Lepisosteus oculatus: one gene and its partner. The protein of the gene in region 1 binds, or shares a complex with, the protein of each later gene. Links are inferred from orthologs where the notes say so. Each region holds a gene or a part of one and is shown on either strand. Other genes may lie near its edges.

Region 1 (15,480 bases):
GCTAGTCTGTAATGAACTGTAACGCTACTGCCCAGTGGTGTCTACGTGCTCTGCATTAGGGGCCTCTTCCACTGAGACACGTCTTGCTTACTTGTCCCACTTTCATCCACTGCAGAATATCTTGAGGGGTGACTCCCACATTATTGGGCATCTCCATGGCAGCTGGACAGTGTTTCCTGAGAGGGACAACCAGATCATCATAGACTGCACGGAGGAAGAAGGAGAAGGATAATTAAATATTGCACACAAGAAAAGAATTAAGTCTTTTCTGTCACATGCTTGCTGACTGAAAGGATGCGTCCCCCTATCAAAATAGCATATCAATACACTTTTTTTAAATTACCCCCAGAAAATAATTTAAAACTGTAGCTGGTATCTATACTCCATTTCCCCAAATTAGGTATACAGTGATATATGAGAGAACAGTACCACAGTTTTCTCATAAATCCCCTAGTTGTGTACAAATTCTAGTCTCATTCAGGGGTGTTTTTACAAAAGTCATCAATAAGAAGACACCACTTCCACTTGTCGCAGACAAACACGATTTCATTATTCCAAGATGTACACGAACTTCATGCTTTCGGTAGACAAGGCATGTGCTGCCACCCCTTCTGACTCCAGCTCCTGCCCGGGACCTCCTCACCTCTCTTGCCCCGTTTGAGGACCCTTCTCGCCGCCAGGTGAAGCGGCGTGTCGCCTTTCCGGTCCTGAAGCAGGGGGTCCGCGCCCTTCTTCAGGAGCAGCCTGAGCACCGCGTCGTCGCCCAGCGAGCAGGCCAGGTGCAGCGGGGTCCGGCCCTTACTGCCCTGGCTGAAGCTGAGGTCTGTGTCCGGGTGTTTGCGCAGGTAGGATTTCAACTTCAGCAGGCTTCCTTCCTCCACGTATCGCAGCAGCCGCTTCTGCCTCCGAGATGCCATGGATATACTCGCTGCACCCCCGGGGTTACAGCAGCAGACAAAAACAAAGTCGTAGAAACAAAGTCTCCATATTAAATTCGAGTTACGCCTTTGAATACAATTAGTCTACAAGCAGACTGGTAGAAAAGAACTCTCCACTCCTCTTTGCAGATTGTATGTTTCGCTACAAATGTACCACGCACAAACAAAAGCCTATGAAAGCTGACAAGTGACACAGAAGAAGTTTACCATGGATTGTTCTAGATTTAACAAGTCTATACTAATTGCAGCCAAACGTTATGTTGCTAATCCTTTCAGGCGACCAAATCACAGATATTTCTGTACAAAAAGCTAATGTTGACTTGTACAGTAAATACAGTACAGTACCTGCTTGTAGTAAAATTACTTGCTTGAGCTTGTGAAGTCCAAACAGTATATCACTTCCAGATACTAGGTGGTCAAGACTCGTAAAAGTATCATTTATGAACCTTGCATTATGAAGTCATAGTTTACAGCTGTCATAACGTTTTTAAAATTAAGTATCTTAGTTCGTTGTACTTTTAAAAATAGTCATTAATAATTATAAATTCAAGTATTAAGATTATCATTTAGGCTACCGATGCTGTCTGTATATTTTGTAAATAAAATGCCGACTAAACGCCCCTTCCACATCGGTCAGTTTACAATGATACACCACACTTCCGGCCACTGGTACGACAGAAATATATTTCCGAAAGAAATCTAAGAAATATGAGTTCCGGCTTGTTTGTTTTGACAGCAATCGTTTGACAGCAATGGTATTAACCCGATTCGCTTTCTAGACTGCAAAAGCATGAGTATAATCTGAACGTGACAACTACAATTTTTTATGGTACCTAACTGCAGTAAATATTTTCAAAATAATGGAGAAACATGACCCACATTTTAAATGAAAACATGAAAACAAAAACACATTAAAGCACCCATTTACGTTATTTAAGGTCAAATTGTAGATTGGTGTAACGTAAATAACTGTCATTGTTTACTGTGCCCTATATATGATCTGATATACAGTAAACACATATATCTAGTTATATCTGCACTAAACTAAATTAAGTAATAAAAGGTCATAAAAAGGTGTAGTGTTAGAAAAGGGGAATGTTTCTTCAGGTAATTATTAACTGTCTGACACTGAACTCCTTGACTTAAAAAAAAATCTTAGAAATACTGTTTACAAATGTTGATCTGTTAGGATTGGTTGTGGTGTAATCTACAGTAGGTCATTATTGCCTTTGGCATTAAAAAATACTTCTAATAACCCAAATATTAACTTTTAACATCGATATGTTGACATATAAACATCTACACAACAACACTGGTCTAGAAATGAACATACCTCTTCAATTTAATAAAAATGTAGAAGTCTAACAAATTGAGAGATGACATACAGTATTCTGTATAGAACAAAACAAGGATGGCAAAATGTTCGGTTTTTCAATTTAATACTGAACAAAATGTTATTATGAACAAAGTTTAATACCATAAGACAACTGTACTTGTATAACCAAATTCATGTTTAAGAAAATAATTTCTTTTTCATTAAGTTTACTCATCAAGCAGATCTGAAAAAAAAATCATTTAGTTGTTGGTTTCAAATTCAGTCTCTGGATATAGTTTAAAAGTCAAGAACTCTTTATGTAAATGAGAAAACAGAACAGAGAAAACATAGCCGGGACCCATTTCTTGACTAGTGACAGTAAATAAAAAGGAGATTATTTCCCTTCCCAGTTGTATTTTTTAATTTTCCGAGGTCCTGTGTAAACTGAAGGTTTGAAATCAAACCTAAATGAAATTTATTTGGTCCAGGCTTGTCTCAATTACTGTATATTCTCCTAAAGACAATTCCCGATGTCCTTAATCTTCCAGTATTTCCAGAGCAAGAGTGGTGATCATGTAGCTAGTTTTAACTTCTTCTTTTTTGGTTTCATCATCTGAGGCAATGAAATCTTGAAGGCAGTCCTAGAAAGAAACACACACATTAAATAAACAGGGGTACAATAATTCTCGTATTAAATTCACCAGGCTAACTTTAGATAGTACTTACTCGCAAGTTGTGCAGATGGGGCTGAAGGTGCAGAAAACTTCATGGAAGGAAATAAAAATCAGTAAACAAACGCAGTAACAACATACATAACCCTCTGCTACAGAATTAGATCTTAATTTGGCATTTGCTTCAAAATGACACATCATTTTACAAGACCACAAGTAGTTCTACACTCCTGGTGTCACATACTGGGCAACATCCATTTTCTAACTGCTCTGCCCAGAACAGGGTAGTGGGGGAGCCAGAGTCTATCCCAGCAAACACTGGGCACAAGGCAGGATACACCCTGGACAGGATGCCAGTCCATCCCAGGGCATACACGCACAAAGACACACAATACAGCAGGGCTAATTTTCACAGATGCCAATTAACCTACCTAAAGTATGCCCTTGGACTGTGGAAGGAAATCAGAGAGAAAATGCAAACTCCACGCAGAGAGCACCCCATAACTTGAACCCAGGGCCCTGGTGCTGCCAGCCTGCAATAAGTGCATCACCAAGCCCACTTAGCAACATTAAACTACTGAATTAAAGTGAAACAAGTTTCCAGAACATACTTGACAGGCAGACTGAGCACACGTATCCGATCTCAATGAGGTTCCGATGGCAGAAGCAAGCGGCTCTGTAGTCAACGTGTGCAGGAGGAGGGAGGACCAGCTGGGAGCGCTGATCGGCATCGGGCAGGAAGACCCACTGGAGACAACGGATCCATAACAGAGGGATTAACCCAGAGCAAAAGGAAGCATGCTAGTCGCACAGCACACCACACCAGGCGGCTGATGGCCCTCTTAAAAACTCACACACTGATCTCAACCACATGTGCTAACTTAACACCAGCCATGGCTTGGTTAACAAGCCCTTAAAAGATGTTGACTACTTTTGTATTTCTTTATAACAGTTCTATTATAGGGTTAGGATAATGTATGGAGGAGGCTGACTGGGCAGCAGTGTGAAACTCTGGTTAAAGCTCCGGACTCCTGCCATGGGTTCAAATTCCAGCTGGCAATAATGTTGCTGTATTCCTGATCAAAGTGCTTCACTCAGTTCATTGCAACCACCGCATCTGTATAAATAGGTACCAAAAAGTAACCTTGTGAATTAAATCACATCGCTAAAAGTCAGACTAATTAGCATCGTAACAATTAGTCAACACATTGGACTGTGGTCCCCTCCCACATACATTTTTCACAGCTGCTGTTAGATGTCTGCTACAGATTTCATGTTTCAGCATTCTTACCAGCAGATACTGTGCCAGAGCAATCTTCTGTGGTATTTTCAAATACAGCCCCCCTGTAATATCACACGCCTGCAGAAACAGCAAAGGTGCAAACAGCTCAGAATGATACCTGACTGGTATTGCAACAGAAGTATTCAGAAGGGTACAATATAATCAGAAAAATGTCAATCGTGCTAAGGCTCTATAAGCATACTAGCACAATGTTTCCCTCGCCCCTTTCTTTTTCTTTTCAGTGTTGACTAAAACTCTAACAGTTCTCTTGCTTCGGCCTCTAAATATAAATTAATCCTACTGACATACGGTCTCTACAAGACGTACTGGCATCGCTGGCAACAACTAAACATCTACCTGCTGCAGAAGTCCAGAGTCAGAATCCAGGACACATGCGTCTATAAGTATGCTCTGCAACAGAAACAGAAACTAAAAACCTGAATTTTTTCAACACATATTAACAACCACATAGCAGTGGGGGGGAAAAGCAAAGAGATCAAAACGAATCACAGAAAAAATATCTCAAGGATCTTCATTTTAGAAATTCTTACCTCATTCTTATCTCACTAATTAGTGCTGTAACACAAAAATTATTACAGAACAAAGCCTGCTGTAAGAAGAAGGTGTTCCATAAATTTAATTCCTAACAATTTGATATTTTACATGTTTCAATTAACATTGTGAAGGGAAAGCCAAGGGCAGAGACAAATTGTTTTGCATTCATACCTGCTTCTGTGCAGCAAAAATAACATTCATGAAGTTCATGTACTGTAATGCACAATCTTCTGCAGCCTTTATTACCTGGAGAACAACAAAAACCATTAATCCTGGGAATAAATTCCTGAAGATAACTATGCCTGAAAATGACTGCTCACCAGTATTCTTGATTTCATTTCTGGTCCAGCTGGAAAAGAAAACAGACCATATATCACAAAACATTCCATATTCCACATCTTTTTCAATTATTAACTGTCATCTATACTTGATCATCTGTTTCATTGATTTGTCCAGAAATATTCCTCTCTGCTGTAGTTCTGCTATATAACTGATCAGGGGTTACGTTTTCCAGATCATTCATTTACTTTTATGAAAGCCTCTGCCTTGAATAAAGCATATAAATAAATAAAGGGTAAACGAACCAACACAACAGAAAAGATGTCAGAAATTTATGAACTACCTATCCATACAGAAATCTTAATTTGAATTTCAAAATAAAGCAGTAAATATGTGATACACTAAAAAAGCTATGTTAACATTTCATGAAAGACTAGTTAATTGTGAAAGAAAGGACTGCATTACCTTCAAGTTCCTTTGAAAGCCTGTGGATATCTGTCCAGAAACTGTTATGAAAACTAACAGCCCGTTGGCCATCAGCTAAAAATCCAATTAGACATACAAACAAGAGATTTTTTGGAAGACAGCATTGCCTACAAATGAAAGAAAACTCCTACATACTGTATGTCACAAATGGCTGCTACAATCTGTATTTTTCAGTGTAGCCATGAGCCACCAGTTTTTAAGAGTACTGGTGCTACAACACTGAGATGAAGGATACAACAGAGTGCTTTTGCAAGTGATCCTGCCAGCAACGTTTCTGTCTGTTGGCCCCTCACATCAGCTGAAAAAACAGGATGGACAGTATGTTATGCAATCCCTTGCCAGATAACATGGGCTGCTTTGAAAGAGAGAGACTAACTTAAACATCAGAGTGACCTACTTCTCGCCATGAGATTTCTGATCTCTTCAGCAATGAGCTCATTGGCTACCGACAGGAGCTCATATTTGCCGTCTCCACTGCTTGATGCTGCCTCATCTCCTGTAAAATCACCAGCTTTCCAGTGCTTATTGGGGTAAAGGAAGTGACTGCAGAAACAAGGAGCACAACAGGAAATGCGTGATGCTCAGAGCAATGTTCAGCGCTGGCATGCTGCCCACTTTGTCCCTGCCATACTCTGACAGATCCCCAGGACACTTTAACACAAGCACGTACAAGATAACTGATAGTAAAAACAGTACATGTCTGTGCACAAAAACAGAGGTGCGTTTCCAAAAATGATCTAAAACAAGACTGCACTGGCTTTGGAAAGGGAAGTCTTCACCATCAGGGTGCTGTAACAGTTTGCTATAATTTTAAGTCGCCTTTCCAGTAAAGACGCTTGTCTTAGAGCAGGTGGAACTGTAGCATCCGGACGATGCAGGTTCGAGCCTGGGGCATGTCACTCACTCAAAGTAACCAGGATTCCTGAGGCAGAGATGCACAATTAGGAAAGCACCACTGTTGGGATTGGGCTTAATTAGCCAGGGCTCTCTTGGATCCTGGCAAAACTACGCCCCCTGCAAACTCCTGGTGCACTACGTGAACCCCTAAGTGCTGCTTGCACTGAAATGCCTGTATGGAGCTTTCTAGGTTGTGATATGCTAAAATGTAAATATCTCAAAGGTGGGTGGATTGTGGAAGTCTGCATGTATATCCTCATTTTCCTTTGTGTGTTGCTGCAGGGTTCTTAGTTGTGAGCTGACACGTGAAAATCCATAAGTGGCGATTCCAAAATGGGAAGGTATATCAAATAAATGGGAAAATTATTTAAAGTTCCATTATAATAAAAAATATATAGTGTTATCCAAACTCTGGTGAAATAGCAAAAGGCACAGATACATAAAACACACCAGAACAGATAAAATACTAATAAAGGTTTTTGAAACAGAATGGAAAATGGGCAAACGGAACTCAAATCCATCACCCTTGTTCATCGCAAATGATAATACATCTTTACCTCTCCTGACAATGGCTGGCAATAATGGCGAGTTTGTTGCTCCTGTTCATAACAAGGTGCGAGTTCCCCATCAGCATCACAGCATCCATGCACTTGGACAGGGTGAACTGTTTCACAGAGCAATGAAAGTAAACCAAGTGCTGTGAACTTCAACTCTTTTCACAAACTGCAAAAGTTCTTAGAATCCATATTTTCCAGACCTCCACAAATGCAAATACAGAAAAACAAAGGTGACAGATTGTAGGCAGTTTGCTTGCCAGTACGAGCGGCAGCTAAAAGCTAAAACTTTCAAACTGCCTTAAAACCACTTCTAGGTAAATGCTGCGGTTACCTATATATTCTAGCAAGAATACAGCACAAACCGTCTCGTTTACCTCGGGCTCTTTCTGCGACTGTTGGCCCCACCAGATGGGACTAACGTCCACCACGATGACGAGAAGACTGATTTCGTCCTCTGCAAACAGAAGAAAGGAATCACCCCCAATTCTCTGTGACACACAACAAGATTTTAACTTATCTTCTATCGAAAGAATGCCGTAATAACTCAGTTGCACACAAATAATAACGTAATTATGTTTTAGGTAATCGGTGTCCTGTACCAACTAAGGTTACATTTTACATTCTTAAATGAAGTGGATTGTTTCTGGCGTCAAACTTAATAAACAGCAGTGAAATATACTGTACTAATTCCCTCTCATGCCACTGTAACAACTTAAGTAAAATAAAACGAAAGACAAAAAGGCTTGTTTTTAAAGATGCACGAACTAAATATTCCTCGTATTGATCATACATAATAATAATAATCGAAATTAAGTTGAATGAACCCACCAGAAGCCATATCTGCATCACAAACGCAGAAAGATATTCCCCAAGTATCAGAAAGCCATCTTCCTGACAGTGTCGCAGCATGCGGACGTCATCAAACCTCGACTAGTCACTCTGAGCTTGCTCGGCTGCACGAGTGAAATTGAAATACTGATAAATCCAGTATTTTTTAGGAAAATCGATCATTCTTTCAAATGCGCATATTATCGGATTAATAAACAACGATATCCCCCAAAACAGTAAATAATTAAGAGATCTTCTATTTCATCAGCTATTGCACTGAAGGGGGAAAAGTATCCGGCTGTCAAATAATTTCCTTATGTAAAAGTTAATATAATTTGTTTCTAATTACAAAACGTCTGAACTAATTAATCTAGATCGCTTTTATTTTTATAACTTCGATTTTTAAATAAAACAGATTTTACTACGTGTTTGACTTTCGCCTTTTATTTTACTGACTGTCTGAAACAGCCATTCAAGTGGAAATATTCCTGCGTCTTACAGCTGTTGGCTCTTGCCTGGTTTGCACCAGCCACCCTCCGAGAAAGTTGCCTACTTCTGTCTTTCAGAAATGAATGAAAAAGGTATGTTGCCATGGTATATAAATTAGACCACGAATGACCTAACTTTTCATCCTACAGTCTTGACAATGCTAAAATGGTGAAATCGTTAATATATTTACTTTCTTTCTTGTAACGCTGCGTTTTTGGTCAAATGAAATTAAATTTAAGGCCTTTTTGTCTGGTATGACTTTTCTAATGGAGAGAAACGTCCTTTTGGTGGAATTGAACTAGTCTTGCTGAGCCAGTGTGTGGAAGGGTCTGACGAAAAACTGGTATATTTCCATAAAATAACTCCCGTTTATTCACTCCAGCGTGTTCGTTAGGAGGCGTCACAATTCCCCCAAATTGGTTTGATACATGCATGTTGTGATTATTTCCTTCTAAAACTCCATATACGTCCATAAAGTTTTAGAAATAAGCATTAGCACACCATATGTTCAATCTTAAAATTGGGTGAAATCTTACTACCGCTTGCTCGGATGAATTAGTAGTTCAACAAGCGGTGTTTTTACACTTCATTGTTAAGTAGTAACACTGTGGGTAAGAGATAATGTCTTATAACGTACTTATGTCTACTACAGTAGCTCTATGGTTGTGATTTAGTTTTACAATTGTATTAGATTGAGCATTTGCAGTGCCTGGCATTTGTAAAATACTGTACATAAAAGGAATTGGTTTCATTGTTGAGAGGTAACTTGAACAGAGATCTTTGTCATGTCAAAGACCCTTCTGTCTCCCTCAGAACTGGTGGAGTATTTCAGGAATCAGATGCGGCAGGATCCTGACATGGCGTCCGCTGTGGCCGCGATCCGCACTCTGCTGGAGTTCTTGAAAAGAGACAAAGGTAACCGATTCCCGGAAAAAGGGATTGTACTCGGACCCCGTCACGCCTGTTGGTACTACGTTCTTCAAACAGATCAGTCAGCTGAGAGCAGCTTTACATCCCACTGTCTTACATTGAGAGATCAGGGTACTTACTGGAACCATCTGAGTGAAGCAACTCACTCAAAGACTGCAGTAGCCCATTAGGAATTGGACCGCACAGTCCCTTTGGTGGGAAGTCCAGAGCCCTCACCACTACCCCATACAGCTGCCATAACCAAGCCCATCCTGACAGCATCACAGTCATCACCCATGTTATCAGTTCAAATAGGCATTGAAGTTACAAGTCTGGAATTCCAATCTTCATACAGATGGCTGTAACAATCTCACAAGTAAAGGTTTATTCCATGCTGAAAAGAGAAGAAAAAAAACACAATGTTTCGGCTATGGAGCCTTTTTCAGGTGTGTAGTAGTATTAACTAGATAGAGCTGATCCTTTAAACGTGATCGGGGATGGGTCAGTTCTCCCAGAAGTTCCTCTTCAGTTTCCCCTCTGCTGTGGTGCAGGTGAGACCATCCTGGGTCTGAGAGAGAACCTGACTCAGGCCATCGACAAACTGACCAGTGTGGACTCCTCGGTGGCCGTCTCGTCTGGGGGAGAACTGTTCCTGCGCTTCATCAGCCTCACCTCTCTGGAGCATCCGGTCAGTACTGCCTGTCCGTTTTGGCAGAAAAGTACAGAAAACGCCCACTGCGTAGCCGATCCGATCCATGGCAGGTTTTACTGTACACATTGCAGGCCCTTGTACAAGTTCACACATCTTTCTCAAAGTTCTCAGAGCTGACTGGCCTGAAATATCAATCAATATCTTGATTGGCCTACTGGCTCTTACAAGAACTTTCTGCATCTTAATAAGGGTGGGCTGTCCTGCTCTTGGAGGGCTAGTGTGTCTGTGGGGTTTCCTGAACACTTCAAAGTACCAGAAGCCGAAGTGCTGGAAGAAGCTATTTTTTCCCCACTAAGCCAATAAGGATCTGATTGAACTTGTTAAAAGCTGGGTTGGAGTGAAATCCTGCAGACATACAGGCCTCCCAAGACCAGGATAGTCCACCCTTGGTGTAAACCCTGAACTGAAGCTTTAAGGCAGTGACGTAAGTGTCTGTGACTTAGTTTACAACATAGCTCTGCTCTGCCATCCTACATACAGTGTGAAGCCTAGTTTACACTAAGGTAAGGTGACAAAAGGAGAAACTAAACAAATGTCCTCCAGCATCACGGGAGAGCAGTCTCCTTTCCATACCCAAGTGAACATATTCAGCATGCGAGAACTTGTGGGGAAATTGTGAATCCAAAAGGCTCAGATCTTGTAGATGTTTTTTCAAGTGCAGCTGGGGCCCAGGTGTTGAGAACATTTTGTTTCTCCCACCCTGTCCACAGGACTTATCACAATGCAAGAAAGTGATGATTGAAAGAGGAGAACTCTTCTTGGAGAAAATATCACTTTCGAGGAACAAAGTTGCAAAACTCTGTCACACATTCATCAAGGACGGAGCAGTGAGTACCTATGTTGAAGAGTAGTAAATAGCATGCTTCTCTTCAACAGTGTTGAAGTGATATCGACTGAACTTTGTGGAGGTAATTCTTCCTATAGGAAAGACTGATATGTGTTCTTTAGTTGTCATAAAGCAAGTGAGTCCAACCATAGTCCTGAAGAGCCCCAGTCCATTTAGTCTTGTATGTTACCCTAAATCAACTGTTGATGAATACTGGCAATACTAAGTTATTGATCAGCTAAGCCACAGTGACGCAGTGGTGAGTATTGTTGCCTTGCCAGTGGTGCTGTCTGCATGAGGTTTTATGTTCTCATGGGTTTCCCCCCAAGGTCCAAAGACATGCTGGTCAGCTAATTGGTTTCTGGGGGAAAAGGGACCTGGTGTGTTGCATACCTGATTAGAAGTGATTAGAAAATGGATGGATGGGAGGATCGATTAAGAAAGCCATATACTCAGTTAAGGGGCTTCAGGTTCTTATGGGCTGTGAATTTTTTTTTAAACAACCTTACTTTAATATATCATCAAGTAGATAACTTGATTGTTCCAGGTCTTGAGAACTAGACGATTTAGCTCTACTAATGGGGAACTGGGACTCTCCAGGAGCAGGGTTGCTGATTTCTGCACAAAAGCCAGCAGGCATCTTACTGATTTCAGGGCATCAGTTAGCCATAGAGCAGAGAGTATAGCAGACCGCATTCAGCACTGCTGCATTGCTCTGCTGGGCATGAGCGGGAGGGAATCCTGTGTCCTTTCACCTCCTGGTTTTTCCCGCTGTAGAAAATCCTGACCCACTCTTCCTCGAGGGTGGTGCTGCGCGTGCTGGAGAAAGCCGCAGCGGAGAAGAAGCGCTTCACCGTCTACGTGACTGAATCTCAGCCCGACACCGCAGGGCAAGTACATGGCAGCATGGACCCAATAAAAAAGAAATACCAACAAGCGCAGCACTCTATCTGATCTACAATGGGAACTACCCGTCGGAGAGTATCTGGATGATCTATTTTAGTGAACTCTTATTCTTTTGCAGGCAAAATATGGCAGAAAAGCTAAGAAAACTCAATGTTCCGGTCACAGTGATCCTGGATGCTGCTGTGGGGTAGGTACCTGCAGGAATCTCCAAGCTGGAATTTCAAAACCTCCAATAAACTGGTTCCACAGCACAGCCATGTTCACGCGCAGGTATAACCAACACACTGCAAAACCAGCTTTGTGAACGTAGTAATATTTAATGTCACTTGGGCTAAGGGCTGCAGGGCGTAGATCTGGAGGTCAGGTATGTATCCTGCTCTAGACTGCTTATTTGAGTGTGCCAAGTGCCTGTGTACAAAGCACTCAGGAGAATCAGGTGACATAGGGGCTTTTGTACGACAGAAGGGTGCTGTTTATGGATCCAACCGCAGGACAGGAGATTCTTGTTTGTCATTGCAGGTACGTCATGGAGAAGGTGGACCTGGTGATCGTGGGAGCTGAAGGTGTAGTGGAGAGTGGAGGCATCATCAACAAGGTGAGTGGTGTCGCAGACGCACCAGGTCATGTCACAGGATTCATTAACACAGGATACTTTTATTTCTCATTTTAAAACATACTGATTATTTGGTGCTGTGGCATGAAACCGTTTAGTGTTGGGAGGCAAATATTTTGAGGTTTAAATGTATTTTAAATAATAACAATTAAGAAAATTTAAAGACAAGAGCTGTTCAGCACTCTATACTGTGCTAAACATACAGTATGTAATCTGTAAACCATATAATTTACAAACTATCAGAAGTTACATATTGTATAGGAATCTTATTCTAATTCTTTTCTATTGTTGTTCTAATTGTTTTGCAGATTGGCACATACCAAATGGCAGTGTGCTCCAAAGCACATAACAAGCCTTTTTATGTGGTGGCAGAAAGCTTCAAGTTTGTCAGACTTTACCCACTGAACCAGCAAGATGTTCCTGACAGATTTAAGGTAAAGGGCAAGTTCAGAAATAATAATCTCGGTGTCAGCAAAATCAATCTACTTTTTCTGAAGATACTTTTCAGTAGATTGTTCAACTGACTTGTCTTCGCTTCTGATTTCACATAGACGTGCTTTGAAATCATAGTCACAAGTAGAGAGAAAAAAAATATCACAAATTAAGTTATGGCCATCGAGAATGTGAGAGCACTGCTGCTGTTGCACACCGTAGTCATACCAGTGACTCGTTTCACCCAGTCTTTAATTCCTTCATCTCATTGACAACAGTGCTCAGCCAGGCTAAGATCATTCAGACTGAATTATCCACTTACATTCAGATGTTCTGGTGGCATGGTAGCACAGTGGTGACCATTACTGCTTCACAGAGCTTGTGTCCTGGGTTTAATTCCAGGTCCTGGGATGCTATGCATGTGGAGTTCGTATGTTCTGTTTGTATGTTCCCTTGGGTTTCCCATGGGTGTTCTGATTTCCTTTCACAGTTCAAAGGCATACGGGTAGGTTAATTGGCTTTGGGAGAATTGGCCCTGATGTGAGCATGTGTGTGTCTGTGTCTGTGTGTGACAGGTGTCCCAGCCAGGGTGTATCCTACCTTGCACCTGTTGCTTGCCAAGTTAGGCTCCAGCTGCATTACAACTTTCAATTGGATGAAGCAGTTAGAAAATGGATTCATGGATATACAGATATATAGATATTATGTGGCTGCTGCAATAAATGTTTTGTCTTTCACAGTACAAAGCCGATACGTTGAAGTTGAGCACGAATCTAGCAGAAGAGCATCCTATGATTGACTACACACCTCCCTCCCTCATCACTCTCCTGTTCACAGATCTGGGGGTGCTCACCCCTTCAGCTGTTAGTGATGAACTCATCAAGCTATATTTGTAACAGCACTGAAGATGCCAGTAAATTATATATCTAATAAAGCTGTTTAAAGAAATGTCAGTGGAACTATTTTGTGCTTGTTAAAAAAAAATCAGTACTTAGATGTTGAGAAACATAAACCTGACGAATATTTAATCTTCACTTAATGGGACTGAATATTCTATCTTTTGTTTAATTCAGAATTAAAAATAAAATGTTTAGATACTCATAGGTTAGCTCTGGACTAACTACATTTGAAAAACAAATTGCAGATTTGAAGAAACATTTCACTAACATGGAGATTTCCTGGGTACCTGATCATACAGTACCAGAACCAGAATTGCCATGCCTGAGAATAAAAAGTAAGGTTACAAACAACAATAATAACCCCAACATTTACATTGTGCTTTTCTGGACACTCCACACAAAACACTTTACAGATAATGGGGACTCCCCTCCACCACCACCAATGTGTAACCCACACCTGGATGATGAGACAGCAGCCAAAGTACTCCAGTACTCTCACCACACACCAGCTCTCAGTGGAGACGAGAACAGGGTGATGAAGCCAATTCAGATATGGGTATTTTTAAAAGGACATGACTGGTAAAGGTCAGGGGGAAATTTGGCTAGGACAAATTTGGATTTTGTTTGGATTGGCCCTTGGATTTCTAATGACCACAGAAGAGTCAGGACCTCAGTTCTACGCCTCATCTGAAGGATGGCACCTTTCTTTGCAGTTTAATGTCCCCCCTCACTATAAAAGGGGCATTAGGATCCACACATACCACAGGGAGAACACACCTACTGGTCACACTAACATCTCTTCCAGCAGCAGCCTTAGCTTTCCCAGGAGGTCTCACGTCCAAGTGCTGGCCAGGCTCACACCTGCTGAGCTTCAGTGGGCTGCCAGTAATGAGTTGCAGGATGATATACTGTAGTTGCTGGCAAACAAGTGGTTCATTCAGCCCACCTACAACAGTTGCTAATTGATCCCAGGGTAGCCATTTCCTCAAAGTGTCAGCTTCAACAATATGGTTATGGTTAACAATAAGCCCTGTGCAGGAGGTAGCAGGGAAATAAACACTGTTGTATGCAGTCAAGCAATTTTACATCAATTTAAAAAAGGCATCAATGAATGAACAGACTCTCCTTAAGAAGCCAGTATAACAACACAGGATCTGAGCTTCAGCTGTTTAAGTTGCTTCCAGGTGACAAACCGAAAAGGTTCTGAAGAGCATGTGAAATATTTCTCTGAAGTCTCTTCTACTTTACCGTGACTGCAACTTGGTCTTACTTTGATTAAAAAGCTGCATCCCTGAGAAGATTTTGAAAACTCGTCACTCAGCTCAGGGAAAAAGGCAGTTCTTCTGTCATTTGTTTTTCAATTTTACAATTTTTTTTTTGCAACTAGGATTCTAACCATTGTTCACTCTTAGTCTGTCTCTGAATCTTCCTCTTGTTGCTTGCCTGCCGTTTTGGACTGTGAAACACGTGCAGCTGTCACTTGCTTCTCAAAGTCCTCCTCGCTGATCTTGCCCTTCTTGAGCTTCTTCAGCAGTCTGGTGTCGCTGAGCAGCTCATCCATGTCTTCGTCTTCAATATCTGAGCCCTGATACCAGAAAGAATCATCATTAGACTGCTCGTTACAGTTCTGACAGCTGCTGTAAAAAAGTCTGAGATCAATTTTGTAATGCATTCCTGAAGGATATCACCAGGTCAGGTAATTGCTCGCTTATACAATGTTATCGTAACCTCAGCAAGTTTAAAAATCAGCAGAAACTGAGAAACTCTTTAAAACCACATTTAACCAGAAGTGACGGCAATTTCAGTGATAAGTCAAGTCAATTATAATGACTCTTGATAAGTGTTGTTCCACTCTTTTCCTTTTGCTAACTAAACAAGTTAAGGGA
Region 2 (15,524 bases), on another chromosome or scaffold:
GAATAAAACCGAGAAGATATCATACTGTCGGTTCACAAAAAAAGCGCTTTCAAGCGTTACAGAAATCAATCATTACATGATTTACTTTAAGACACCAACACCACACTGACTGTATAAAACCATAACCAAATGTTTTGGACCATTATATCAGTTTCAAAGAACCACTAATTAACGTGCTGAACCTCTATCAGATCTTTCAGAATTGATCATTTGTTGAGTAAAAAAAGACTACCATATTACTGCACATTCTTAAAACATTTATGCTACACAAAACATTCAGCTTACTAGAGTGAGCCATCAATTATGTCAACACTCAGAGAGAAATGCTACATACTGCACCCCAGCCTTGATGTCGGCACAGAAATCAATAAATCATTACAGCTAAAGAGTACAGGGGTCAGGGAATTAAAAAACTAAACTGCTTGCAGTCTGCATTGATTCAACAGAGATGGATCAGAAATTTCCTCCAATGCCAATTTTTTTAAATTATTCTTTTATGTTTTAATGGGAACTGCATTGCTAGACGTTCTGCAGCTCTAGTTCTCAAACCACAACCCACTGTTTTTCTAAGAAAGGGAATTGAGAATTAACTGGTCATGTTCTTCTTTGTTCCAGTATTTAAGTCTGAACAGTGCTGGTAATCTGTTTACTTTGTTAAAAGAACAAAAAAGTGTGCTCAACTCTCATTATTTTAGGATTATTTTGTCACCTATCAACTTCCTCATTAGACCAAAAATGAGCCTGAAAAAGTGCTAAACATCCTCTGTTGCTAAAGTAGTCTCAAACATCAAGACAAGATGGTTTGTGGTGACCTTACATTTTAAAACATTAACCCAATCTTATGGCAGAGGAACAGGACATGTCAAATTTAATCTCGTGTAAACAAGATGCTAATCTTAATTCCAAACAAGGACCTGAAACACGGACAGGACAAAACATCCTGCTTTCCACATTTGCGAAAAGAACGAATTCATTTTTGAGGGTCTACTACCACCTAGTGGCTAACTTAGATAACTGCAGCGTTCACCTACAATCGTCATTGTACACAATGAAATTGTTTTGGATTGGCCTTCGGGCGAAATCTTGCCCGTCTCTAGACAGAAGCAGCAACATTTTTATCTATATCCCAGAGACGTTTAATGATAATGGTGATAACTTTTTACTGACTAAATGCCTTGAAAATCGCAAAACAATAATGAGCAAATGTAAACAACAAACATCACAGAGTGACCTCATGAATCCTACACCTCGAGCCAGCCGTTCTCATGTCCATCAGTAAAATGCGCTTGGACTGACTTCGGTACAATTCATATCTTGTACCGTATATCCGTGCTACCTTCGCCACACTGCTTGAAAACAGGACTCCCTGTGTACTCGGTACAGCCTGAACGTCTCAGATGCCCACTGGCTCCCACTGTCCCTACCACACTAAGGCATCCATCCCTCTGAATCGTTGCTCTGTTTTTCAGTCCCTCTTTATTACACTGCCAGGGGTCCAGCCAGTGATCAGACCAGCACGGGATCTGGGATGACAGGATGTGTCCCATGAGGTGTGAACTCCTGCAAACGGGCAGGTCCTGCACCCCTAACTTCGAGCCAGCAGGGACTGAAGGCCTTCCCTCCAGGGGAATATTTACCCTTAAATGCTTCCGATATAAAAAATCCATGCAATACTGCATCTCTTCCACTGTGCTATATTCCATTCCAGGTTGTAACCTCTCAGCAGCCTCTTTTTTCTCAAGCTGTTTAGTGCTTACTGTCATTTGAACAAAAATATTTGTTTTAAAACTTGGGCAAGGTCCAGCAGAGGGCTGCCTCCCACACCAAGCACTGCACAGCGCCTTTAGGACTCACTCAAAAAGGATCATTTTAAAATAAAATTTTGTTAATGGCCACAACATAGGTGCTGGCCAGCCTAAGTACAGTATCATTTAAACTTGCAGTTGTAGTGAAAGGTGGTCAAGTGTAATCTAAATGAACATCTCAGTAACATCCATGATTCCAGTTCCACATTTCCTGTGCGGACATGCGGAGTGTGAATGGGATGTTATTCTGCACAATCACAGGTGTGTAAACTGTGACCCCAACAGCCTCATCATTCCCGAGTTTCCTAAGACAGATGGCCAGAGGAGCACTATGGTATTTTATACAGATTCCATGAAACACGCATCACAATACCAAACAAACACTGTTCAATCTTTAAAAAAAAATCCTTTATTTGAGCAACTTTCACAATTCTTCTGAACACATCCATCACGTGAAGCGTTTAAGGAACAAAAGTGCAATAACTGACAGGAAGCCTAAATTCAAAAGGGGGATAAAAGACCGAAAAAATAACTGCTCTCTCTCCCAGGTGCAGGAGTACAGTCTGTTGTGTGTTGCGTTACATCAGGAGAGAGGGGACACATTCCTGGCTTTGTCGCGGAAGCATGGAAGTGCGAGGGCGGCGGCAGGACCCCCCCCAGCGGCTCGTGCGCCGTCGCCGTGCGCCGCACACTGTCCTTGGCATCGCTCGACCACTCACTGCCATGTGGCAGAAAGACGCAGAGGGCAGGAACCAAATCCACTTATGCAAACATTTTGCAGACTCCACAACCTCACAGCTTTCAACAGTCGCTGGTATCTCAACTCCTATTACTCTGCAGAACAATGTCACTCCTTGTCGCCAACGATTAACGTTCTTCTCTGCAATCCGCAAGAGGGGACAGAGGGCACACAGAGCTGTGGAACGACTGTAAGAACTAGAGAAGAGTTCATTTCGGTGTGTAGCAAGTTAAATACGGAAAGACCAGATTATGAACCTGAAGCACATAGAAATTTCCTTCATTTTCCGATTGGGTACAAGAATTCCATAGTTCACCACTCTAACACTAAAAAATGAGTCTGTACTCTCTAAGAATTTAACAAAGCTCATAATTCTGTTATGGGATGAAACCTTAAAGACAGTAAGAGCCTCAGCTTAGCTTCAGAACAAACCAGACCTTTCTGTGAGCACTGTATTACCGCAAAATGCAATAAAAACTAAGAATTAAACAGATAGCACTGAAAAGGATCTTCTCTTAAATATGGTATATAAAATTCACTATTTACCATTACCAGTATTAGAGAAGATGCTGTGGAAATGTCACAGAACCTGCGCTCTGCACATGACAGCACAAGGAGGAAGCTCAGCTCAGGTTTGTCACATAGTCCCTCTGTCCACAAGCTGGAACCTGCAGTAAATGTAACACCAGACGGGGTTTGTAGTCCAGACTCCTCTCATCCCCCTCTACCTGGAGATTATCAAGCCATTCCTCCAGATAGTGGAAGAATATCTGATCCCCGACACCACTGACCGCTCGTGTCAGCTCACCTGGGAGAGCCCTCCTGACACACCTGCTCTGAGCCGCTTTGGGCAGCCATGATGGTCAACAGACACCCAGACAGTCAAAAGCACCAATGCTTAGTATTAAAACAACCAGGATTCCCTGAGCTGCAGCACACAACTGGCTGACCAAATGTTGATTTTAAATGATAAAAAATAAACCACTTAAGAATGAAATGACTTCAAACCCCAGACCAACAGATTTTTGACAGTGTGCCCAGTCGAAGAGGACCCGTGACCCGAACCGCTGATATAGTCAGCCTAAATCTAAAAAAAAAAAAAACGCTTAGTCATGGTTAGAAGATGGACACATTCTGTTCTCCAGTTGGCGGATGTAGCTTTCATTTTCCTGTACTGCCTGAATCCGTGCGCATCAAAACCCAGCGCACCAGAAGTGATGTCATAGGGCCGCGGCAGTCAAGTCAAAGCCTGTCGATGCCCGAAAGCCTCTTTACTGTGACAGAGCCTGCTGCTCTCTGGCTTCCGAACGACGACGCGCGCCTCGCTGTCTTACCCACAACCAGTCCGCACTCGGGGCAGATCATGTCTCCGGCCCGGTAGTCCTCCACCAGCATGGCATCGGGGTGGTTGGGGCACTGGACCTTGGGAAGGGCATCTCCACTGCGGAGAAGCAACCACATGTCAGACCAACAGAGAACCCGCTGGAACACGCCGTTACCACATGTAGCAGCACCGCCACAGCCAGAACATTTCAACACGCAGTGGTCTAGCAGGTCTTCAACAGGGAACACTTCTGTCCCTGCCCACTAACGAAGAGCGACAGGGTAGCATTGCCTTGAGACGGAGGTTATGACAGGAAATTCCAGGGAAACTTCCAGGTAGCAAACGGACCTCAGTGCTCGGCCAGGTGTACCTGCGCAGGATTGACCGCCGACTTCCCAGTTCGGTCAGAGGCGACGGTGCTGGAGTTCAGCGCAAGTCTGATAGAGGCCCAACTGTACAGCACCAACTTGTAAATGAGGCCGAAATTATAAACGCTTTTGAAAAACTTCAAGATGCTGTGCCAGAAACGAAACGTAAGTAGCTTAATTTTTGAAGTTTTGTTGTGAAAACCATTCTATTGAAGTTCAAGAAGGTGCACGAGCTGCACGAAAAACTTGGACACAGGGTTTCTATAAAGAAACTTTTAAAATGATTCCTGACGCATGCTGCCAGTATACAAAGTCTTTTAGCTTATTAACAGCTGTACAACTATCTAGAATTATTCTTATCGATGTAAAATGTGTTTCTGATTAAGTGCAAAATCTCATTCCTAACAATTTGACAGTGATGCAACTAATGTGTCTGGCTCTGCCATCGTGGACTGACTACGAGCTTCATTACTTAGCTGATAAAACAATTACCCTAGTTTCCCTGCAAAATACTCCTAGAACAAAAACTACACAGCATGGCTTTCAAAGTACACTGTGTCCTACTGCAGATCAGAAAGCCAGATATGACCAGAGAATTGTTTAGCAGCAAACCTTTGGAAGAACTTCAGAGCCGATTATATTGTCCGTGTTGTTTTTTGTAAACATGCTGGCTAACCCAGATGATAGTTACAGGCTTTGTAACAGCGGGAGTCCTATCAAAGGACGACTAGTGTAACAATGACACACAAACAGGTGAGAATAAGGTCTATGAAATCGACAAGTAGTGGAACAAACTGTTCCAAACCTCCATGCTATTTAAACCAAGCGCAGGGCGTACAGTTCCAAGACAATTCGTCCCATATTTTCACTTCTGCACATCCATCCATGTTTTAACCACTTTATCCAAGACAGGCTGGCAGGGCAGCCGAAGGCTATCCCAGCAAGCAACAGGCACAAGGCCAGATACACCCTAGACGAGACGCCAGTTTTACTCAAAAGCCAATTAACCTACCAGCATGGCTTTGGACTGTGGGAGGAAATCCACATGAACACGGGGAGAACATACAGACTCCACACAGACAGCAGCCCGGGGCCCCAGCACCGCTGGCCACTGCGCCTCCGTGGCTTTTACTTCTGAGGTTTCCAAAACCCACACTGCTGCGTAGCGCCGTGCATCGTGAATAAGAACGGAATGGAAAGAGCTCACGTTCCGTGTTTGAACCGAAGCCTCCCTCTCGTGAATAAGCTCAAGCTAGAAATATGCTCTTTCCCGAAACTATAAAACACGTCTGATACTAGAGAACACCTGCCGTCAAAGCAGGTCAGAAGTGAAACACAGGGGCACCGAGAGCGCTGGCGGGGGGGTGTCTGTACAGCGGCGGTGTGCTGGGGGGGGGTGAGTGGGGCCCTGTCGGTACATCAGCTCCGGTTTCGATTCTGTCATCGCTCTCCGCTCCCCCAACTCGCACCCCCGCCGGTCATCTCACCGCACTGACAGCCGGACAGCCTGCCCGAGAGTGAAATCAACGCGCATCCCGGGCAGCCGCGGTGCGCACCACGCAGGCAAGCCAGACAATAGGCGAGCCGACGCGCACGGAGGGCAAGGCAGAGATTAAGCCAACACGCCTCAATCCCGCTCGCCACGCAGTTTCGACCAAGCACCCCCGTGTGCGCGCCCACGCACACGCCGGGTCCCACGGGCAGGTTTGTTTCAGACACAAAGAGGGGATCAAGCGGCCCCGGCGAGTCTGCTGACTGTTCACGGCGCCCCCAACACGCCTCCGGCTCACCCCGAAACGCAGAAAAAACACCCAGTACCGCCGGCCCCCCGTTAATGGCACCCCTTCCGAGCTTGTTTTCGATACTTTTATCTCCCCCCCCGCCCCTGTCTTGTTTACCGCACAAGACCTTAGAAACAACAGAAACGTATGATTAAAAAATACCAACCGGCTAGTAGACGCCATATTGCCTTCAGTCGAGCTCACCAACAGCGACTGCGGACACGCACTGCGCCCCACCTCTATTTATAGCTTCGCTCGTCACGTGCCCGAGAGCGTACGGGCAGCCGAGAGGCCCAAACTTCATACACGTCCTTAATCACTCCCTTTGTCGTGCAAATTTCCAAATAAAAAAAAACATCATAATTGAAGTTTCAATACCACTTCCATTTGCATGTAATACAAATCTGAGACTTTAAACTCCAAATGCACGTCATGAATCCTGCGCCATTTTACCACTTTGACTTTTACGGAATGACAGGCGGTAGGCATACAATGAAGGTTTTTCATTTCGTACGTGAATAAAAATCTTTATTTTTTCATTTTTTACCGCATTTTGTCCAAAGTACATTAACTACTTTAATTTATTTGACGCAGACAATACGATCAAGTACGCTGCTTTGACTTTCGAGTGACTTTCTAAAAGGCAATAGAAAGATAAAAATAACGAATGGAACGATTAAAATAATTCGCAGACACAGCTAAAAAAAAAACAAACTTTGACAATAAAAACTTCATAACGAGCAGAAATTATTTTTCACTTGCATAGATTTAGTCAGGGTAGAGAAGGTTTTAAGAAAAAAGATTTCAAATATCAAAATACTCCGAAGGTCCAGGCGGAGGTCTGTTCCTGCGCCTCGAGCCTTCTCAGAGCTCAACACGTTTCAGCTCCGTCGGCACACAGACTCAAAGACACGGCAGGAGCGACACATTTCAAACCCCCTCGCTGCCCAAACCGTATCTACGGTCCTTCTCTTCCTGAATGCAGAGGCGGAGCGGTGGCTCTGTGGCTCAGGATCTGCGCCTGTGGCTGGAAGGTTGCCGGTTCGTATCCTGCGGCCAGCAGAGAAATCCTACTCTGTTGGGCCCCTGAGCGAGGCCCTTCACCCCAGCTGCTCCAGGGGCGCCGTATAAATGGCTGACCCCCAGCTTCTCTCCCTGTCCATCTGTCTGTGTCTCATGTGAAAAGAAATTCCTGATGCAAGAAATTGTATATGGCTAATAAAGTGGTCTTATCCAACTCCAACAAGCTTTTCGTAAAATTTAATTTAATCAGTCTCTCATAATAAGATTGCTGTGATAATTGTGTAAATAACTCTGAACTGACGTTTCTTTTTATTTCCCATTTTTAGGAACAGGAAAGCATTTCAACACATTCTTAGTTTCCGACAGATAAGACCTGTATATTAAATGTCCTTTAAACGGCATGAGGGTGAGATACGAGCTCCTCTCCAGGAGAAAACCACCTCACAGGACAGAGATAACTGCAGGGACCTTGAGGAGAAGACAGGGGAAATGCCGAACGCAGGATAATAAAAGACTTTAAGTAGCACTTGCAGGAAAAAATGCTTTAATGGTATAATGGAAAAGGCCACTGCATCACACAGAAATACTCAAACCATCACGGTAATAAACTTGGTGATGCAAAACAGCAATACTGAAATGTTTCAATTAGCTCAAATTCAACGCATCATCAAATTCAAAACGTAACATTCCCTGCAAGATAGCTAACACGGCGCCGGGCCAGGGCCAGGGCCAGGTCTTCACTATCAGACAGGCGCCGCTCTGTTCCAGTTCTTAAGAATCTCCTCTGCTGCATCTAACGTGTCGTCTCGCTGCAAAATAAGGGAAAACAAAAAGTCAGCGCAATGCTCAAACTCTACAAAACTCGCCAGCGGGATCAGTATCCATTCATTTCAAGCTGGCCTAAACGGATAACTGGAATTCAGGTGATCAGCTGTACTGTGTCAGTCATATTCAATACAACTGGCCTGGGCCTGAAGTCCTGACAAGCCATGAGCAGGGCCACCATTCTGGTGTCCCCCAATAAGAAGAAATACGGCCATCATGAAGGTCACTCAGCTTTGATTTGCCGTTTTACACACGGCACGTTTATTGTGCTTAAACTGCCTGCACACAGCAGCCTTTACCATTGCTACCATTTGCCTTCAGACAAAAACAAGTTCCTGTCTTGGCATTTGCCTTTAACGTTTTTTCAAACCTTTTTTAAACAGAAGCCTGTTTAAATTTAAGTTCATCCTACAAGAGAGGTATGACCGTGAGAAAGCAAGGCCTTGTCTCGTCTTGCTCGGCCACCCTCAGGGAAACTCCCACTGCCCACAGGCCAGTCTCAGCCCGGCCACAGGAGACCACGCCAGGCAGCCCATCGCCTGCAGGACAGGCGTGCTGCCAGCAGGGGGAGACTTGCTCGGGACACCCAGGGAAAGATGCCTTCATAAAGGCAGAAAAGCAGCAGGCTACCTTGATGAAACAGAATCGGATGTATTTTTCAAACTGCTTCTTAGACTCTTCTCCACAGAAGGCAGTCATTGGAATAGCTGCGAGTTTCTGGAAGAGAAAAGAAAAAAAAGTCCAGAAGGGCCCCAGGTTTCTGTGACTCCAATAACATCCTAATTGCCTGCTCATGCGGTAGGGTCTGCCTCATCTGATTTGTTTTGGGTATGGGCACTCACTGCCGCTGTGGAAAACTCCCACAAAGCACACACTCAGCACTCCCCAAGCACAGCAGGAGGAAAGAGCTGTACCTTTTCCTTGATCATCCACTTCACAAACTTGTAGTCGTACGGCTCGTCGTCTCCTGCGTGAGACAGGTCCACGTCTGCGCAGACAGAAAACATTGTCACGCTCGGACACAGGCTCTGCAGTGCTCAGAATCCACCAGACGGCTCACGGACAAGAAGAAGTCATGCAGGCCATTTCTCTCTAGTGTATCACGTTTAAGGCGAACGGTCATTGTGCAGAGCACATTCCTCACACCAATTTCTTTACACTTCCATACTCTTGGACTACTTTTCTGCACACTTCTACCCTCCCACGCTGTGAGCAGGAATGCTGGACAGGCAAGGGAAGTCAGGAACTAGAGCCCTGGTGGTGCTGTGATGTGCTCTCCATGCTCGATACAGATTAGCCGTCTGTCCCAGCCCTCGGACCACAAGTACAGTTTTTAACTCTGGGAAAAAATCACTATGCTACTTATTAAAATTAAAACAAAACCCTTCATCACTACACTACACTGACAACAGAACACAAGTTGCTGTGCATTACTGTTCCTTCAATGTGTAGAATAAGGAGTCCTGTTTGATGTGAACAAAGTCAGCGTTGTGACACAGTCCTGTCAGTACGCAGTGTCTTGAACTGCGACAGCTCTTGTCTTTGCTGGACAGAAGAGCTCATTGTCTGTTTTCTTCACACTCATTGCCTTCTGCCGAGATCAGTCTCCCAGCACCACTGGGCTCTTCAGCTCTCGTACCAGGGCCCTGCCTCCCCTCTGTGAGCAAACGCAGTCAGAACAGGGCCCAAACACTGTCATAGCTTTTGTAAGAAGAACAGATTAAAGGCGGCAGTGTGGCCCGTTGTGTTTGCTGCTACTCGTAACCCGTTGGTCTGAGGTTCTCAGCCAGCTGTCCTGTGTCAGAACTGTTGGAATCAGTTTAAATGGGCAAGGGGTTCCAGTTCCAAGCACCCACCACCCTTTGTGTAGAGACGGGTCTCCTGATCTGTCCCCTAAATGCACATAATTTCCACTTGTGTCATAAGATTTTTGATTCACTGCTGATTAAATGTTTTACCCATCACATGTCTAATGTACTATGAAGCTGAGGGGGAAATATGCTAGCAGTGTATGTAATCCAATTCCCTCTTTTCACTCACTAAAAATGACATACAAATATCTGGGAAACGTGTGTGTAAGGGGCTCACACAGACTGCGAGTGCAAGCTCTTTGCCCTAGAGGCTCTAGAGGTGAACTCACGGCTCACACCAGGGCCACAGTGACTCACTGGGACAGAGCTCATCCCAGCTCCTGTAGTGTCTACTGGTCTGGAGTGCTGGCGACTTCCCCCAGCACGGGACACTGGTCCATCACAGGGATGACACCCCAGCAGTACCGGTGCCCAGTTATACAGCTGGGAGGACGGGAGAAACTGGGCTGAAGTATCTCACTGAAGGAACAGCAGTGTCTGCAGCAGGGACTCGAACCCACAACCTGTCTGTGATGAGCCCAAAGCCCCCCCCCCCATGACGACGTGGAAACAGTGGCCCTCACTGATCTGCGGCTATGTGAGCCTGGGACAGTTTTCCAGAAGGGCAGGACACGTTCCCGAAAACCCCGGTGGAACAGCCGACTCACCCAGCGCAGACACGTCCGCGAGCATGAAGTAGCCGCCTTCGGGAACGACGGGTCTCATGCCAGCGGATTCCAGGATCCCGGCCATCCGATCCCTCTTGCCCTCCAGCTCGCGGGCGAGAGACGAGAAGTAGCAGTCGGGGTCACCCATGCGCTTGAAGTCCAGTAGCAGGCCCTGAGCCACGGCCTCCTGCGGGGCAGACATGGGGCCTTCTCAGTCGCAAGAGCACAAAAATCAGTGCAAGGCCAGATCACTTTCCCCTTCATCCTCCCTCAACTGTCCGACGGGAGCACTGTGGTCATAGGCGGAAACACTGAGCAGAAGTACAATAAAACCGAGAGGAGGAGACGCTTCCCTACACAGAGGGTGGTGGGAGTGTGGAACAAGCTGTCTGGCCAGGTTATTGAAGCTGACTCGACGCAATGGCTGCACGGGATCGATTCCAGTAACTACTAACTGCAATACCACATTGGGCCAGGTGGGCTGAATAGCTCCCCTGATTTATAAACAGTTTTTCTCATGATGCCACTAGGGGAAGAACGACTGAGGGACACGACCTGATTTTCTACAACTCGCTTGGTGTGATGTCTTCAGCGGCTCATCATGCTGTCGGACCAGAACAGAACAGGAGGATCACACAGACCAGTCCTCAGCAGGACGGTTTACATTTCACCTGGCACTTCAGAAGACAGGGTCAGATCCGATCAAGGTAAGGCGACAAATTTTAAACTTGCAAATCACAGATTTATTTTGCAAATGAAGCCTTTGAATTCTGTTCATTAAAAATACCTTCAGTATTAAAACTAAACATTCAGTTTCAAATGTGAAATATAAGATAATGTCACAAATGCAAAAAAACAGGTTTTACCTGTAAGGGAGTGGGGCAGGTATACAGGGTGTTCTGCATGACTGTCTGAAGATGTTTGATTAGATGTTCTGGACCAATTGACCAGCCAAGCTGAAAACAAAAAAAAAGAAAGTCATTTGATCACTCTGAACCTAAACTAAAAGTATATATAAAGTGTATATTTCTAGAAGAGCTGTCTGACAATAGGCAGGTGTCTATCCGTGCACATGGTGGGGTAAATGCGGTCATATTCCAGGCTGACCGCAGATCTCTCACCACAGCTGCCTTGAGTCCAGACACACAGCTCACACACTCTGTCTCTTGGACTACTGATGTGGGTCCTGTCTTTATTCTTGCGTAGTGAACATGCACACAACTTGTACACCTCCACACGTTTCTGCCGAACTCAGCTGCTCCCACTAGTGCACGATCAGACCTGGAGCAGAGGGAGCCATCTTCCCAGAACAAACGCACTTCTAGAGCCAGTCAGGCCACGGGCAGCTGGGTCACTCTACCTTCCATCCAGTCACGCTGAAGGTCTTCCCCGCACTGCCGATGGTGATGGTTCTGTCCCACATGCCAGGAAGTGCAGCTTTAAAGAAACAACTCCAGGTCAAACTCCAAAACAGTACAAACAGTTTAAATTTGAAGCCAGTCGTAGACTTCCTGATCACATTTTAAAGCCATTAACATTTACTGACGGGAGAGTGCCTTACTGCTTCTTGAACACATCTGGTTAGGAACCGCACAAAAATAAGTATATATTTTATTTTAAAAGAACAACCGATAATGGAAATTTTGGGTTTCAAATATTTGGAATCCATCAGAAATTTAACACAGGACTCTTAAAACTCAAAATATTTTTTTCCAGAATGTTATTTGGAGTGGGAGACTGAGTAAAGGAGACATTTCTGCTTCTTTGTAAAAGCTGTATGTTTTCCCCGATTCCTGCAGAGCTCAGTAAAAACAATTTTGTAGAGGATATGGACAAAATCTTATTATCTACAAATAAAAACTATAAAGCTGAGCACTGGGTCACCAGTAAAAGTAAAAGACATCTGCACAGAATGAGAAAGATATTTCTGCAACGACTCCGATTATGAGCCCACAAGCTGTGCTTGTACTGCAGTCCCGAACGCATTACCGATCTTAATGTGCTCCTGCCCCTTGTACACCAGCCACTCGTACACTTCGTCGCTGAAGCACAGCACATCGTGCTGGACACACAGGTGGGCAATCATCTGCAGCTCCTGCTTGCTGAAGACCTGCGAACACAACCGGGGGAGCGCTCAGAGTCTCGGTCAGGGGTCCCCAGTCCGGACTCCGGAGAGCCCCTGTCCAGTTAATCTCGCAGGTCACCCTAAATCGCCTGTTCTTAAGAGATTAGGAACCCATGTTTAAGCAACTGATCAACTGGTCCCGAAGCTGAAGAGAGCGGAAGGATACTTCAATCTTTTCTTCCAAATGATCTTTAAAGTACTTCAGCTGATCCTAGATCAACTGCCCCAGGCCTTTCGAGATTGAGGATACCTGCAGGACGGGGGGCTGTCCAGGACCAGGGCCAGTCTGCGAGAGTGGAAAGGGGCAGAGCTCTCACCTTTCCCAAGGGGTTGTGAGGTGTGTTGACGATGATGGCTTTGGTCTTCGAGCTGAATTTGCTCGCGAGCTCTTCTGGGTCGAGCACCCAGTCTGCACTGGTGATAGCAGAGCCTTCAGACATTTTCTGGTGTTTAAAAACAGCACAGCAATGTGGAAAGAATCATCAGTTTTGTATTTTAAGGTCCTTTACATCCAACAAAAGGCATGAGCTACTATAAGCACATGAACTGCATACAAGCTATCAGGAGGTACCTTATCTAGTACTGAGCCCTAACAGCTAGACCCAAGTACTAAAGGTGTTCTGCACAGATACAATAACTCATAATCTACTGCACATCTGACTCGTTCAAATTCAAAGCATGTCGGACTCCACTGTACGTGAGGCGAGCTCCCTAAGTGGAAACAGGGTTCAAGAGCATTACTGACAATTTTAAAATAAACCACAAACGTTACACACATCCCTTGGCACACAGTGTGCAGATCCCCAGACAGATTAGACGGATTTGCTTCTTTCTACATGAACATACAATGATCAGACTCACAAGTCTTAGCGGTATCAGGATGGGCTTTGCTCCGGCCATTCGGACCATGGGCACGTAACAGTCAAAGAAGGGCTCCATGATGATCACCTGCAACAGTGAGTTTTAAAACCCAGTTCTGAGAGAACCCGGGCTTTGTGGGACGTCAGGGGAGTCGTCAGGAGCGGCGACAGTCCGGCCAGGGGGACACTCACCTCGTCTCCTTCCTCCACCAGCGCCTGCATGGTGCTGAACAGAGACCCGTAGGCCCCCACCGTCACCAGGACCTCCTTCAGTGGGTCCACCTGGCGGCCGCACACCGCGCCGTACACCTGCGACAGCGCCTTCACTAAAGAGGGGTGCCCCTGCCGGGAGAACAAGGGGGCGAGCTGAGCACCGCCTCTCAGCGGGTACAGCGCCAACAAACGGCCTCCGCCAGCCTCCTGCCGGCCCTCAAGCTGCGGGAGACGCACCGGCGCTCGACCCAGCATGAAGCCTGCAGGCAGACCTGCATCTCACGGGCTGCAGCAGGAGAGCCGTCGGCTCCAGGAGCACGGCCACGCTGCCCCACGCGTTCCCCACCACGGCCCACTCCAGACGTTTCACTGAACACAACAGCCACATGTCTACTGCATCTGTGGACACGTACAGCCAAACACTGGATCATGCACAAGTCTGTGAAAGTGATCCACGACTTTGGACAAACAAACAAACTTGCCTACTAATTAAGAAGAGTGCGTGTCTTCCGGAGGGACGAGAGGCGGCAATCTTCCCCAGCCCCCCCACCCCAGCGTGCCCCGACGCCCCAGCGCCCTTACAAAGCCCCGGGTGTACTGGTTGAGCCTGTCCACGGACACCGCCCTGGCCAGCGCCTCCGTGACGTAGGGGGGAGGGGGGAGATCTGGGAAGCCCTGCCCCAGGTTGACGATGGAGGGGTCAGCAGCCACAGCGGAAAAGGTCACCCTGCGGACAGACAGACAGACGGACAGACAGACACACGTCACTCGGGTCTAGGGCGCTGTGCTCCACACAACCGAGGCCGAGCCCCGAGATCGAATCCCCAGCTCAGGCGCCCTTTAACCCTGCAGCCCTGTGAGATCGCTTCCTGCGCCCTGGGTTGTGATGCGCATGGATTCAGGCTCACTGCAGCACAGGAGCATGAAAGCTCCACCCGCCACTAAGACAGAACAAGAATAGTGGCGAGACAATGGCATTCTTCGAAGCCGTAGTGTTCAGCAGATCTTTTCTCTCTTTGGTAGCTTTTCAAAACTTTGCTCCGGTGAAATAAGTATCAAAGAAATCCTCAGACACAACTGACTGGTTGATGTACAGAACTGACACCTTTCAGCTCTCAGGGGGATCTCCACTGTACTTACCATATGTTTTTATCGAGGCCTTGGATTCTTTTGGTATTTTTGTGCCTGAACGAAGTCATCTAAAGTTTAAGGGAGAAAAGTAGAATCAGAAATGAGGTTTTCTCAATCATTGACTCAAAACATAAAATACATTTTTTTTGTACATTACAGACACATTTAAACCTCTTTGATGTAAAGAAAGTCAAAAGACAAGGCATGAAAGTATGGCAGACACATGAACACATGGTATGTCCTCTGGCTCCATTTAAGTCTTGACATTGCTTGAAGGAGGTACTGTAACTAAACAAGAATGTTGTCTCCTATTTTTGAACAGTGTAAGACAAAGACTCACTTGAGAAGTAGACAGGCACTGACGTCTCCAGGAGATTGTTCTCGGCAAGCTACACACAGCAGGACAGCAGCTGAGGGCGTGGCGCAAGTTCATATCTGCAGCAGACACATGCCCCGCTCTGTCATTTTCACGCCTATAATATTTTGAGTTAAAGCTAACTATACATTTGAATTTAAAATACTGGTTAAAATCACATTGATTAATATTATTTAATCTTTAGGCACAATGGTCATGCCTGTATTTGGATTATTTTTAAAGCAATACACAAGATAAACAGGTTGCTTATACACACTCCGATGTCAATTCCAGTACAAAAGGCTTAACTGGTGTATACTGGTGACCAGTAGCTTGTAGCTCAGTGAGTTTTAAAACCCAGTTCTGTAGTCACCAGTTTTTTACAGCACCGCGTTTACATCCACAGTTACATACCACACTACTGATAAATCATTACCAGCACACGTTAATGGGTGAG

Evidence for each region.
Region 2: gtf2h3 (region 1) and gtf2b share a complex: the UniProt entries of both Homo sapiens proteins name them as parts of the TFIID-containing RNA polymerase II pre-initiation complex. The link is inferred for Lepisosteus oculatus from reciprocal best matches to the Homo sapiens genes GTF2H3 and GTF2B.

Annotation. Positions count from the first base shown.
Region 1 is NC_090717.1:7,652,667-7,668,146, reverse strand, and holds gtf2h3 (general transcription factor IIH subunit 3), read right to left. Parts: upstream 7,888-15,480; 5' UTR 7,819-7,887; coding exon 7,809-7,818; intron 7,435-7,808; coding exon 7,355-7,434; intron 7,088-7,354; coding exon 6,981-7,087; intron 6,070-6,980; coding exon 5,924-6,069; intron 5,825-5,923; coding exon 5,762-5,824; intron 5,536-5,761; coding exon 5,506-5,535; intron 5,111-5,505; coding exon 5,082-5,110; intron 5,008-5,081; coding exon 4,933-5,007; intron 4,618-4,932; coding exon 4,564-4,617; intron 4,285-4,563; coding exon 4,216-4,284; intron 3,672-4,215; coding exon 3,536-3,671; intron 3,017-3,535; coding exon 2,980-3,016; intron 2,895-2,979; coding exon 2,825-2,894; 3' UTR 1,681-2,824; downstream 1-1,680. Other genes in the region: nfkbil1 (NF-kappa-B inhibitor-like protein 1), read right to left, coding at 92-204, 644-917; eif2b1 (translation initiation factor eIF2B subunit alpha), read left to right, coding at 8,377-8,389, 9,111-9,212, 9,758-9,894, 10,629-10,745, 11,522-11,634, 11,769-11,837, 12,170-12,245, 12,572-12,697 and 1 more; ATP-dependent RNA helicase DDX55, read right to left, coding at 15,003-15,179. UniProt on the Homo sapiens protein: Component of the general transcription and DNA repair factor IIH (TFIIH) core complex, which is involved in general and transcription-coupled nucleotide excision repair (NER) of damaged DNA and, when complexed to CAK, in RNA transcription by RNA polymerase II.
Region 2 is NC_090704.1:1,105,357-1,120,880, forward strand, and holds the start of gtf2b (transcription initiation factor IIB), read right to left. Parts: upstream 6,291-15,524; 5' UTR 6,201-6,290; coding exon 6,184-6,200; intron 3,986-6,183; coding exon 3,879-3,985; intron 1-3,878. Other genes in the region: kynurenine--oxoglutarate transaminase 3, read right to left, coding at 7,784-7,849, 8,496-8,582, 8,780-8,853, 10,384-10,570, 11,250-11,339, 11,744-11,820, 12,373-12,493, 12,826-12,951 and 5 more. UniProt on the Homo sapiens protein: General transcription factor that plays a role in transcription initiation by RNA polymerase II (Pol II). Involved in the pre-initiation complex (PIC) formation and Pol II recruitment at promoter DNA.